Oryzias latipes: one gene and its partners. The protein of the gene in region 1 purifies or fractionates together with the protein of each later gene. This does not show direct contact. Links are inferred from orthologs where the notes say so. Each region holds a gene or a part of one and is shown in the gene's direction. Other genes may lie near its edges. The genes, in order: nek7, anks3 and anks6.

What was found.
Region 2: the proteins of nek7 (region 1) and anks3 purify together in Homo sapiens (affinity purification with mass spectrometry; 3 studies listed by BioGRID and IntAct, with this or other methods). This does not show direct contact. The link is inferred for Oryzias latipes from reciprocal best matches to the Homo sapiens genes NEK7 and ANKS3.
Region 3: the proteins of nek7 (region 1) and anks6 purify together in Homo sapiens (affinity purification with mass spectrometry; 3 studies listed by BioGRID and IntAct, with this or other methods). This does not show direct contact. The link is inferred for Oryzias latipes from reciprocal best matches to the Homo sapiens genes NEK7 and ANKS6.

Annotation. Positions count from the first base shown.
Region 1 is NC_019862.2:14,456,374-14,460,022, forward strand, and holds part of nek7 (serine/threonine-protein kinase Nek7), read left to right. Parts: intron 1-2,331; coding exon 2,332-2,440; intron 2,441-3,137; coding exon 3,138-3,245; intron 3,246-3,649. UniProt on the Homo sapiens protein: Protein kinase which plays an important role in mitotic cell cycle progression. Required for microtubule nucleation activity of the centrosome, robust mitotic spindle formation and cytokinesis.
Region 2 is NC_019877.2:9,256,713-9,261,088, reverse strand, and holds the start of anks3 (ankyrin repeat and SAM domain-containing protein 3), read left to right. Parts: upstream 1-1,527; 5' UTR 1,528-1,637; intron 1,638-1,675; exon of another isoform or gene 1,676-1,768; intron 1,769-1,836; 5' UTR 1,837-1,848; coding exon 1,849-2,015; intron 2,016-2,090; coding exon 2,091-2,289; intron 2,290-2,368; coding exon 2,369-2,490; intron 2,491-2,903; coding exon 2,904-2,985; intron 2,986-3,128; coding exon 3,129-3,246; intron 3,247-3,328; coding exon 3,329-3,478; intron 3,479-3,594; coding exon 3,595-3,711; intron 3,712-3,796; coding exon 3,797-3,906; intron 3,907-3,982; coding exon 3,983-4,144; intron 4,145-4,225; coding exon 4,226-4,350; intron 4,351-4,376. Other genes in the region: c19h8orf33 (UPF0488 protein C8orf33 homolog), read left to right, coding at 175-321, 427-638. UniProt on the Homo sapiens protein: May be involved in vasopressin signaling in the kidney.
Region 3 is NC_019878.2:10,673,866-10,677,514, reverse strand, and holds part of anks6 (ankyrin repeat and SAM domain-containing protein 6), read left to right. Parts: intron 1-209; coding exon 210-360; intron 361-1,404; coding exon 1,405-1,449; intron 1,450-1,528; coding exon 1,529-1,733; intron 1,734-1,853; coding exon 1,854-1,960; intron 1,961-2,940; coding exon 2,941-3,092; intron 3,093-3,649.

The DNA of each region.
Region 1 (3,649 bases):
AAATTAAGATAGGCGAAGATTAGTGGTACACGAGAGCGAACATGACAGGCTTGGCGCACACATGCACACGCTCATACACACATGCACACGCACAATTAAGCATACATATAAGGTACTTTGTAAGCAGGAAAGGTGCAGATGCGGCCAAAGAAACGCATTTCCTCAAATGTTCTCAGTTACTTTTTACAAAGATGTTACATGGCAGCTGAGGAGATTTGAAAACAAAGCAGCGTGTCGCTGTTACCTCGGTTTGGCGACTGAGAATGCTGTGAGCATCCAGGCTCTGTCGTATCACTATGTCTGCTGGGAACATGCAATCACACATACATTCATCTGCAGTGCACCATTTGTCTCCTGCACTGCTTTGCATATGTTTTTTCAGTGTAACAGTAGTAGGCCAGGGCCCAGACAGTCTCAGTCTATAGTAATAAAAGCATTTTTTGGTTTTTGTGCCACATGTAGCATCACCACCACCACCAACTACCCACACAACCCTTTAATTATTTTAATTTTTTTCCCCCCATAATGTATCCTCCTTTCTTTCTTTTCCACTTCTCTTTTCACTCACTCTGACCATCCCAGGATTCTAGCAAAAGCAAATGGTTCTTGATTTGCATGCACTTACAGAATATTGCATGTGCCGTGTTTGCTGTTAAAGGCATAAAAAAGAGGGTGTTGGTGGGTGTCTATGTGCTCCCCCATTGACATCAAACGGCCCTCTGATATGGAAATAGGAGGACAGGGAAAGAATGGCTCCTCACTGAGGCTTTGTTTGGATGTAGGCCAAAGTCTATCCCATCCTTTCTTCATCTCTCCATCTATTCCTATCCCTCTCTTTTCTCCCACACCTTTCTTCTTCCCTTTATGTGTCTTTCACTGTCACCTCAGCACTAATCTTTACTATTTTTTATGTTGTGTAACTGTTCTGTCATCTTTCTTTTTCATTCTTTCACATGTTAACTAAAAATAAAATTTTCTCTTGTCTAGTTGTATCCTAACCTGAGATAAACCTCAGATTTCACAGAGGGAAAATAATTAGCAAAATAACATTTTTTCCAATACATGTTTTTTAAAAGGGTAACTTTGAGTGTAGATTGTGTTTCCTCTCTTTAAATTGAGACATTCTACATTAGCCACTTTTGCAAAAAATCAAGACATAAATAAAAAGTATTGTTTAGGGCTGGGCGTCACCACCAACATACTGAGTTGATAGAAATTTACCTTTGGAGATGTCTAATTGGATATTCATTTAATACAGTTTAGTGTACCGGTACTTACATTCACACTCAACTCACCTTTTTGAACCAAGGGCCCACAGAACATGTTATCATGTGGTCAAAAAGAAGATTCCGAGCAATGATGAAGCCAAAACATTGAATTTTACAAACCCCTCCTGCATGATAACCAAATGTCTTTGGATGGAGAGAGATCCTTCATGATGATAACATGATTAGAGGGACAATCTCAGGTTCAAGTTGTGCATCAAAGGAAAGTGCCTGATGCCTTAAAAAAGTAAAATTGTGACAATTAGTCTTTGCTGTTTCTTTTTTGTCTGTTTCTATGTTTACTTACTTGTATATTCCTCTAAAATTCAGCACATTTGCCCCTTTTTTTTCCCTTGCAAAAGGCCTAGCTAAATGGGTAAATCTTAATTCTCGAGCAGAACTTTTATCCAAGTTGGCTTTAGTCCAGGCACTTCTTTCCGGGAACTAAAACCTCAAGAGCAGCCCATAAAATTGTTATTATGGCAATACTTAATACTGTTTCATAGTCTGCGCTGCTGTTGCCCTGCTGCTTGAAGCCCAAGCTCCAGTCATTTGTTGCTGGTTTAAGTCACTGCGGATCCATGAAACTCTGTCATTGCAATGGTTTCTTTGTGGAGCAGAGCCACTATCCTGATTATGGGGAAAAGTCAGTTGGTACTCCATTTAGATATTATTTGAGCTTTAAGAACAAGTGGAAGCACAAAACCACTGTAACTGAAGTCCTGTATGCCAGATGGGGGAGGTTTGCAAGGTACCACAAATTTCTTTTCCCTGTTCCTAAGAACACATGTGCTTTCCATTGTAGGCTGTAGAGAAAATAGGTCTCAGCTTGGTTAAGCAAGGGACAAATGAGAAGTTGTTCTGGGTTGCATTAGGACTGAAGTCAAACAATATAGGCAAGGTTACCACTTCAACCTATATGCATATATATATTATTTTTACCCTTTTATAATGTGCCCCTCAATGTGCTATCTACCATTTATTAAAAAAAAAAGTTTCATTTAGTTATGTCTATGGTTTGTGGTAATTTTGTGTGTTTGTGAACATGAGTGCTTCCTTATTGCAGCACTTCAAGAATCAGAGGAGACTTATCCCAGAGAAAGCGGTGTGGAAGTACTTTGTCCAGGTCTGCAGGGCGCTTGAACATATGCACTCTCGGAGAGTCATGCACAGAGGTAAATCATCATGTACTTTAATTCAAAAAACAAGCAAACTATGTTTTGATGATTTCTCAATCCTGATGCAACAAGAAAAGTCTGAAATGTGTGTTTTTCATAACAACGACAGAAGATTGATGTAATATCACCCATAAAGGACAGAATCATAGTTTTATCATAATAGCACTAAATATTTGTAACAAATTTAATTATTTTCTTTATTTTTTTGTAAAATGTTGTTTGGCATTCCCAAATTAAAGTAAATTACATTACAAGAAAAGAACTAACATTAGGAGAACTTGAGGATTTTTTACTGTGAACAAGTTCTATTAAACACATATCAGTTCAGCTGCCACTTAAAGCTGAAGTCCTGGATTCATGTTCACAGGCTGCTGCACGTTCCCAGTTCTAGGTGATAAACTTCCGTTTAGACTGTCTTTGATTAAGGTACAGGGACACTAATGAACCCCGAGCTCTGAACTTTAACAACCACTTAACGAGGCGGCCAAATCAGCGACACTTTACAATTATACGAGAACAGTCAATTTCAAAGGACACATTAACTTTCTCCTGAAAACAGATTGCAGACGCCCACATTAACGAAAACAACATCATAATGGCTTTAATCTAGTCATGTGTTTTGAGTTGTATCTAAAAAAAACAGTTAATAAAAGAATTATTTGTGGATTGTTTTTCCATTTTTCTCTTCTTGCAGACATCAAACCAGCCAATGTATTTGTCACAGCCACTGGTGTGGTGAAACTAGGAGACCTGGGACTGGGAAGATTCTTCAGCTCTAAAACAACTGCTGCTCACTCTTTAGGTAACTTGTTCAACTTGGTTAGAACAGATATGTTTAACCAGGCCTGGTGAGTTTGTTTACATGCATCATGCAGTCATTGTGGCTCCTCGGTGCTGTGCATTGCCTCCTCACAGGCCACTTTGCTGCTTCCACCTTTGCCCCTAACACAGATTAACCCTGAAGCTGCAGTTTTAATGCATTCATGGGAAGTAAGCAAGCTGCTTTGCTCTGGATTCAAGATGAATATCCTTTTGATTGGCCTGGGATTATAGAAAATAAGGCACAGTGCTTAAATGCATTAAATAGTAAACGGACCTCTCACCTAGTAAAAAGAAATTCATCTTTTGGTGTTATAAAGAGTGTTTGGTCTTTTTTTTCAGATATGGGATCCTTTTTTTTATTTTTTTATACTAGTTTCTTGTAAC
Region 2 (4,376 bases), on another chromosome or scaffold:
AAATCTCATACCAAATTACAAAAAGAAATCAAGGAAAATTTAGCGAAATTATTAAGGTGATCAAAAACAGCATGAAGTACTAAGCAACTCAGTTGCTGCTGGTTAACTTTTAATACTTCTTGGTCTGGTCATCACCTACATTTCTTAGAGATTTTATGTCTTTACTCTCTGCAGAAGAAGAAGCATCTCGCGCCCTGAAAACTCTGCGCAGCTCTAAAGCTCCTCTGGCTAAAAAGAGGCAGGTGATGAGAGCCATGACTGGAGACTACAGGAAAAAAATGGAGGAAGAGAGGACAAGGCAGTTCAAGCTCATTCAGGGAGGTGAGTTGAATGTTACGCAAAGAGTAAAAGTTGTTTATGTGACAAGTTATGTCACAGATGCATTGTTAAGTGATGGTTTGGTTTTTTTTGTTTTGTTTACAATAGAGATTGCATCAGCTCAGGTCAAAGTTGCATCAGAGGCCCCAAAGAAATCTGTTTTCCATAGAAGAGCAGGAGTCAAAACACAGAAACTGTCAACAGATGAGAACCTGCATCAGCGTGAAGGCCAGGATGATGCAACACCACAGTGTCACACAGAGACGTCATCTTTTCTCTTTGTTCCTTCAAAGGAGGAATTTTGTTTCAATTTTTTCTGATATTTTTTTTTTCTTTTTGTTTTGCACTCTGTGACTTTTCTCAAAACTCTTGTTATGTAACACCCAAACAGTAAAGCTTTCCTCAGGATATTTTTTATCAAGAAAAGCTTGCCTCAAGATATTTTTGTCAAAATGCAAGAAAATTACAAAGTAAATACATTTAGCATATCAGAGCAGGAGTTTGCTCTAACTTAATATCTACTTTGTTGTTTTGTTGAACCTATCTAAAGAAAAAAACTAATTTAAGGATGTCTTATGAGGTGACTTAAGCATTGTCACATCACAAGACATCCTTAAATCAGGTGACTCAATGCATGAGTCACCTGATTTAAGGATGTCTTGTGATTAAATCCTTAAATCAGGTGACATAGTAAAATTGTGTAGTGTACAAATATGAAACTGAACATTCAAATGTTTTCATTGTTATTTTGAAGTTCTTTATTTCAAAATAAAAGTGTTTCAATTTATTTTTCTGAGTTTCTTTATTTGGCACAGACATAAGCTAGAAGAAATTAGTATTCATATGAAGAATTTATGTTTTAAGTAGTTTTTTTGTGTTGCTTTCCTTTTAAGCATTTGGTATAGTTAAAAAAAACTTTGAGCAGAGAGAGGGTGTTGGTGAAATTGTAACTAAGCTGTTGAAGTCTGCAACGGGGAGTGAAAAAAGGTTGATTGACAGAGCTTTATGAAGCGGTAAAATACTACTTTTTTGTTTTAAATAATTATTTGTTTTAATAATTGTGGATTTTGGGTCCGACTTTTAAAACTGTTTTTTTAAATTTCTTTCATTATTTTGAGGTAAAACATTTAATACTTTTTTTCAAAATATATAAAAAAAATGTTTTCTTTTAATTTTATGACGAAAATAATTTCCAGTAAAAGTTTTCCCCGCTTTTTAACCGGAAAAGGCGGGGCTCGTTTCTGCACGAGCCTGATTTGATGTAACATACAAAACAAAGAAAGTTTGGGGTTCCAGATGCCTTAATTCAACTCCTGACTGTAAGTTTTTATTTCAAGATACGTTGATTTTTATGTATTGATTTCTTCTTTTCATTAAAATTGTCATAACATAATTTTGCATTGAGTAACGGCCTTTTCGCCATGCTAGTTTAGCTCAAAGAAGAAAGAAAGTAAGTTGGGGACAGATTTAGTTTTCGTAGGGAAAGCACCACGTTTTCGTGTTTTTACTTCATTTCAGGCACGAACGAAAATGTCGGAGTTAAGTGATGAATCCAGTGAGTCGGAACAGCTGGGGGCCAGCCTCTCCCTGTGGCTTGGTGACCCCCTGGTGCGATCGGAGGAGCTGAATGTTCCTCTGGACCTTCACACCGCCTGCTCCATCGGACAGTACGGGGTGGTGGCTGAATGCATTCAAACGTACGCCCCCCCTTATTTTTACTTATATACCGGTTGAGCTCGCGTACTTCCTAACAGTTCACGCGTTGTTTCAAGGCGTGAGGTGAACCTGGACGCAAAGAACATCGGAGGATGGACCCCGCTCATGTATGCCGCCTACATCGGCCATGACAACATCGTGAATCTCCTGCTGGAGGCGGGTGTGAACGTCAACTCCACCACCTCCACAGGACTAACCTCCCTGATGCTGGCAGCCAGCTGTGGGAACGAGAGCATTGCAGACGTCTTGCTTCAGGTAAGAAACCCCACTCCGTCCGTTCCTTTGAAGCTACCAGCTGCTTCCTCATTGATTGACGGCTCCTTCAATCTAAAAGCACGGCGCTGAGTTGGAGCTGAAAGACTCTCGGGGCTGGACGGCTCTGTTTCACTGTACAAGCACAGGTCATCAACAGATGGTCAAGTTCCTGCTGGATCACAATGCAGATGCCAATGTGAAGTAGGTATCTGTGTGTTTTTAACATGTTCTTGTGGCATTTTTCCGATGATGGAGGACATATAAGGAAAATTAAGCTAAAATTTGCATTTCTGGATATTTAAATTTAAATCGCTGAATCAGAAGCATATGAATAGTATTGTTGAAAAAATGATTATATTTTTTACTGGGCAGCCCACAAGCTCCCTGCTCTGCTCCATTCTGATGCATTCACTTGCAGACAAATTGATCCAACAGCTCTGAGGCAAATTTCAAATGAACCACTGTCGCTCTGCAGAAACTATGTCCTAGAAAACGATGAAGGTTTTTTTTATTTTGTCTTAAAACGGCATCATCATAATTAAAAGACCACTGGGAACATTCAAGATAACTGGAGTGCGACTTTAAAGTTTAGATTTCCCTTTTTCTTCCTCCAGAGAGCCAGGATCAGGGTTCACTCCCCTGATGGAGGCTGCAGCTTCTGGACACGAAATCATTGTTCAGTACTTGCTGGACCATGTGAGTACATCTTCTAGTGGCTGAGACCATTTATTCCCCATTATTTTTATGGGTTTTACCCAACAAAATAAGACACTCCGTACATTGAACATGGAATCACAGTGAGCCTTGTCCCACATCATGACCAGCTAATTTATTTACAGAAAGTTAAAGTTGATGACCGAAACGCGAAAGGAGAGACGGCCCGTGCCCTCGCCGCAATTTATGGTTATACCAAGATTGTCAGTCTCATTGACTCACGTTTGCCAAGAATGAGACTAGGTACTGTTTGGAGAACATTTTAGTTTATATTCCCAAAGTTTTGGATTGCACAGCTTTTTTTTTTGTTGCATATATTAATCAGGACACCTTGAAGACCTCAGCTCCTCGGAGGACTCTGACGGCGGTCCGCCGAGAATTCGACCGAGTCGAAGCCAAGCTAAAGGTGTCAGCATCCACGATGGGCCCCAGGCCATCGCCAAGTTTAGAGTGGGTGGCACAAGCAAGCTTGCTGGTAAAGTCTAAGAAATTATTGCAGAACGCTTCCCCATTTGTTTTTTATTTTTTTATCGGAAATGGTTCAGCAAACGGCTTCATTCTTTTGTCAATCCTAATTTTTTCTCCTGGCAGAGCCTTCAGCCGTAGCGCCAGGCTACATGTTTCCGGGTGAGCAGAGTGAAGGCCTCTGCCATCGCGATGTGACTTCACCAATCAACGAGCTGGACGGCCAGAGCCACAGTAGCAGAGGTAAAACACCCGTCTACCAGGAATAACAGCATGGTTTCCTATTTTTTTTTAAATTGTTAAGAGTTTTTTGGTGTAACCTCTGCAGATGACAGCCCGTTCTTTGAGAACAACCTGCCCACCATGAGGAGCAGCAGCAGCAGCAGTGAAGGCCTGCCTCATGTGATCAACTGTGAAGGCTCCTTGGAGAGTAATGAGGTGACATTTTTGAAATAAACGTCTTCTGTATGTGCTTCTCTTCTGCGTGTAGTCACTGCACATGTTCTGTTTTCAGGACTCTGATCCGTGCAAAAGGAGCAGCTCTCGCAGAGCTGCAAAGAGTCATCACTCGAAAGGAAAGAATCGTCTTGGAAACACTGGTGCTGGTCCTCCCAGCAGGTCGGGCAACTGCAAATGCACACGTGCTGCTCCACCTCCATCCTACAACGGCCCAAAGGCAAGTTTAGCTTTGCCTTCATTTTTCTGTCCTTTTTTTTTGTCTATGCGGATGTGTAAATAAATTCTGTCTATTATGTAGGACCTGGCGGATTTCCTGGAGCAGATCGGCTTTTCCAAATACCTCCCGCTGCTTGAAAAAGAGGACATCGACCTGCGGATATTTCTCACCCTGACAGAAAATGACCTTAAAGAAATAGGGATTACGTAAGATGCCCGACTTTCATCCTTTC
Region 3 (3,649 bases), on another chromosome or scaffold:
TGCATTTTTTTTGTCAATTCACAAGGATTTAAATAAAGAAAACCCCCAAAATGTTATTTTAAGCTTAATTTTCTTTATATACGTCAGGAAAATGCCACAAGAACATGTTAAAAACCCCAGAAGAAAAATGTCATTGGAGTGGGCCTTTAAAATCAGGTTCTGGTGATTGGGGTACATTGTAAAAAGACGTGCTGCTGTGTGTTCTGAAGGTGGCTGTGGCTCAGCAGCTGGTGGAGCACGGAGCCGACCCGGACCGGATCAACGTTCTGTCCAAGACTGCCTTTGAGCTCGCCATGCAGTTAAAACAGAGGGACATCAAGGCCTATCTGGACTCCATCACCACTGTCAGACCTCAGACAGGTGCAGGTTCCTCTCAACTGTTTTTAAAGCACAGATTCAAGAATATCCCTCCTAACAGGTTTTTAACTCAATATCTTAATCTAAATTAACTTTCCTAAAGCTCAAAAAAGCGGATTTTGAAGTTTTCTGCATCAAAAAGCTTGAAAAACAACAATTACTCAGTTATTCTATTTGTTAGAATAACCATTCTGGCACAGCTACCTTCATTTAATTTGTTCTTTATAATCCTAGTTTTTTATTATGATGCCTTTTCTTTATTGCAAGTTCTATAAGTTAGAAACTGACCAATCAGATGCCTCGATATACGTTTGTGGTCTCACTTTGAATGTTGGAAACGATTGATTGACAGACTCTTCCGAGCCCACTTTCAAATGCTAGGGGGTGTGGCCTTCCAACAAGCTCACTCCTAATTGTTGAGAGTAGTTGCCATAGAAACAATGATTCACACCGACTTGGACCAATCATTGCTTGCTAATGTTGTCTGGCTCCACCATGTTGGGGTCTGTATCGCCAAAACATGGCAACTGAATAAACAATATGTAGTTGGAGCTGAAGTGAGCCATTTTTTTTATGGGTGACGTCACTCAGTCCAGTTCTCTCATACAGTCAGCGGCTGCAGAGCAGTGCAGACACCTGAAACAGGAACTTTGGACTAAAGTTTCTCATAAAACTACAATTTCTAGCATCATCCTTTCAGATTAGTAAATAAAAAGAAGTTTTCCAACGTTTCATAAATGCACATTTAACCATTTCAAATTCACAAATATGATTCTGAGGAAGTTTTCGATCAGCCGGCACATGACGTTCAGGTGAAGCGTGCTTGTATGGAAATGCCAGTTATCCCTCAGTAAGTGCTGTGGGAACGGGTTGACACCTCCTGTCTGTCTGAAGATGGTGATGAGGAATCTCTTTGATGTTTTTACAGCTTTTCTTACCATTGCTGTCAAATCACAATGCCTACAAAGTTTCTTTCTGGAGCTTTTTCTAGCGTGTTGATTCCTGCCCAAACGGACTCATATCAGGTTCTTGCCTGTGTCTCCACAGACGACTTGCGGAGGAGACCCGATGTGTTCAACGCTCTCAAGCTGGGTGAGCTCCGTCTGTACGCTCCGTAAAAATGGGTGGTGCTCTCATCAGTGCCTCATCTGGATTTTTAACCTTCTCTCAGGAAACTCCCAGCTTGTGAAAGAGATCCTGGAGGAGGACCCGGCTCAGGTGAACTCCTCTAACCAGGAGGGAGCGACGCCGCTCATGATAGCTGCAGTGAGCGGTCAGCTGGAGGTGGTGCAGCTGATGGTGGAGAAGAACGCTGACATAGACAAACAGGACGGCGTTCATGGGTGGACCGCCTTAATGCAGGCCACCTACCACGGGTGAGCTGGAGTTTCGGGGTCTGGTAGTTCATTTGAATGAAAACTGGAGCTCTTATGTGATACTAGCACTGATATTTGGCAACATAAAGCTCCAAAGCACAGAGGCTTTTTTTCTTCCAGCAACAAAGAGGTGGTGAAGTACCTGCTGAGTCAAGGCGCTGACGTCAACCTTCGAGCCAAGAATGGATACACAGCCTTTGATCTGGTTATGCTGCTCAATGATCCGGGTAGGCTTCCTCCTTTCTGATCGTCTTTCCAACCTGCTGTAATGAATAAAACAGCAAACAAGATTCTTAACAGTCTGTTAATATTTACTTAAAGGACTCAATGCTTAATAGTTAAATCATCATTTGATTTATTACGTTTTTAGAGATTAAAATACTGAGATGAGCAGCAAAATGTCTTCCTAATGAAACTTTACAGTCCTGGTGACTTAAGAAAAGTAAAGTAAAATGAAGATAAATATGGATTTAAAGCACATATAGTGCAGTTACAGGGCAGTAGAGGCCCTATTTTACCCTCATTCATGAAGCCTGTCATGAATGAGAATCTTTTAAATACAGTAATTTCAAAGTACATGCCACTTTTTTGGGGCATTGTTTGGCCGGCTGTGGGTGTGACTTATGTGAAAAATGTAAAAAGCAAAGACCACTAGAGGGCACTGTAGGTGTGTATATCAAATTTTGCTACTGACAGCAACACAGAGGGAGAAGCGCAGAAGCTCAGTCTTAAGTTGCATTCTTTGCAACACCTGTTGACGCGACAAATCCACTGAAAAGTCTATGTAAACATGTGTGAACGCATGTTTACGGCTTCTGCATTCAAAACTCGCGTGCTTACACGTAGCTACGGAAGTTTCTCTGACCGTTTTCGGTCTCTACTTCCTGAAAGTACTGCCATTGAATGCGGGTTTCAGTTCAACCAGGTTGAACTTTGACCAATCAGGGAACAACCATTCAAAATTTGATCATATGTGTCTGGCCAGAATTCAGTGACCCCAAGTCCTTTTTTATATATCGTAATCAATAGATCTGTGAAAGAAAAAGCCTGGAGCAAGATTTCAGTCTACTATTGCTATGACTTGTCTGAAAAATGACAGTAGTGTTGTTATTTCATGAAAATGTCTTAAAACATTTGAACTTGTTATCAGTTTGTGTCCATGTTTCACTATGACTCATTTGTTGGCCCCTCCTCCCGATTCTCACAGACACTGAGCTGGTCCGCCTCCTAGCGTCGGTGTGCATGCAGGTTGACAAGGACAAGTCGAAGCAGCGCGGTAAGGCGCTCATTGCGATCTCTAAAAGCAGACAGCCTTTTGCCTCCATCCCTGCGCCCCCTGATGACAAGGGGGGCCTTAAGGTAAAGAAGATTTGAAGGTTTACTGTTACCTGAGGTTGAAATTGTACCAGAAAAGCAGAACTGTTGTGTTCTTTAAAGACCCACTCTGATCTTCTTTTGAAACTTTTAAGTGTTCCAAGTGTTTTTTTTTATTATGACTATGCTGTTTTTAGCCCAAATCCAAAAGCCCGTGTGGTTTTTTTTTGCTGATATTTTCTGGATAGCAGCAGTAATTCATCAGAACTTTAACTCTGAGTTGTGGTCGGGACTGTTGGCGCCACCCCGTTTCCCCTCCTCAGAGCCCCGAACAGGGAGTTTAGGACCACGCCCGCTGTATTCTCTCAACACACTTTTTTTTCCAACTGCGTTTTTTCATCTGCTCCTGCTTTACCACAATTTAAATACATTTTACTCAAAAAACAAATTTGAGTTTAATTTCTTTATATATCAACAGAAAAAGGTCACAATAACACAATTTTCATCAGAATGGGTCTTTAATGGCCGTAGGTCTGAGTTTTTCCCCCTTTAGAAAGTCATCTCAATTTATCCTCTGCTATTGTTATAATTATTTATAGTAA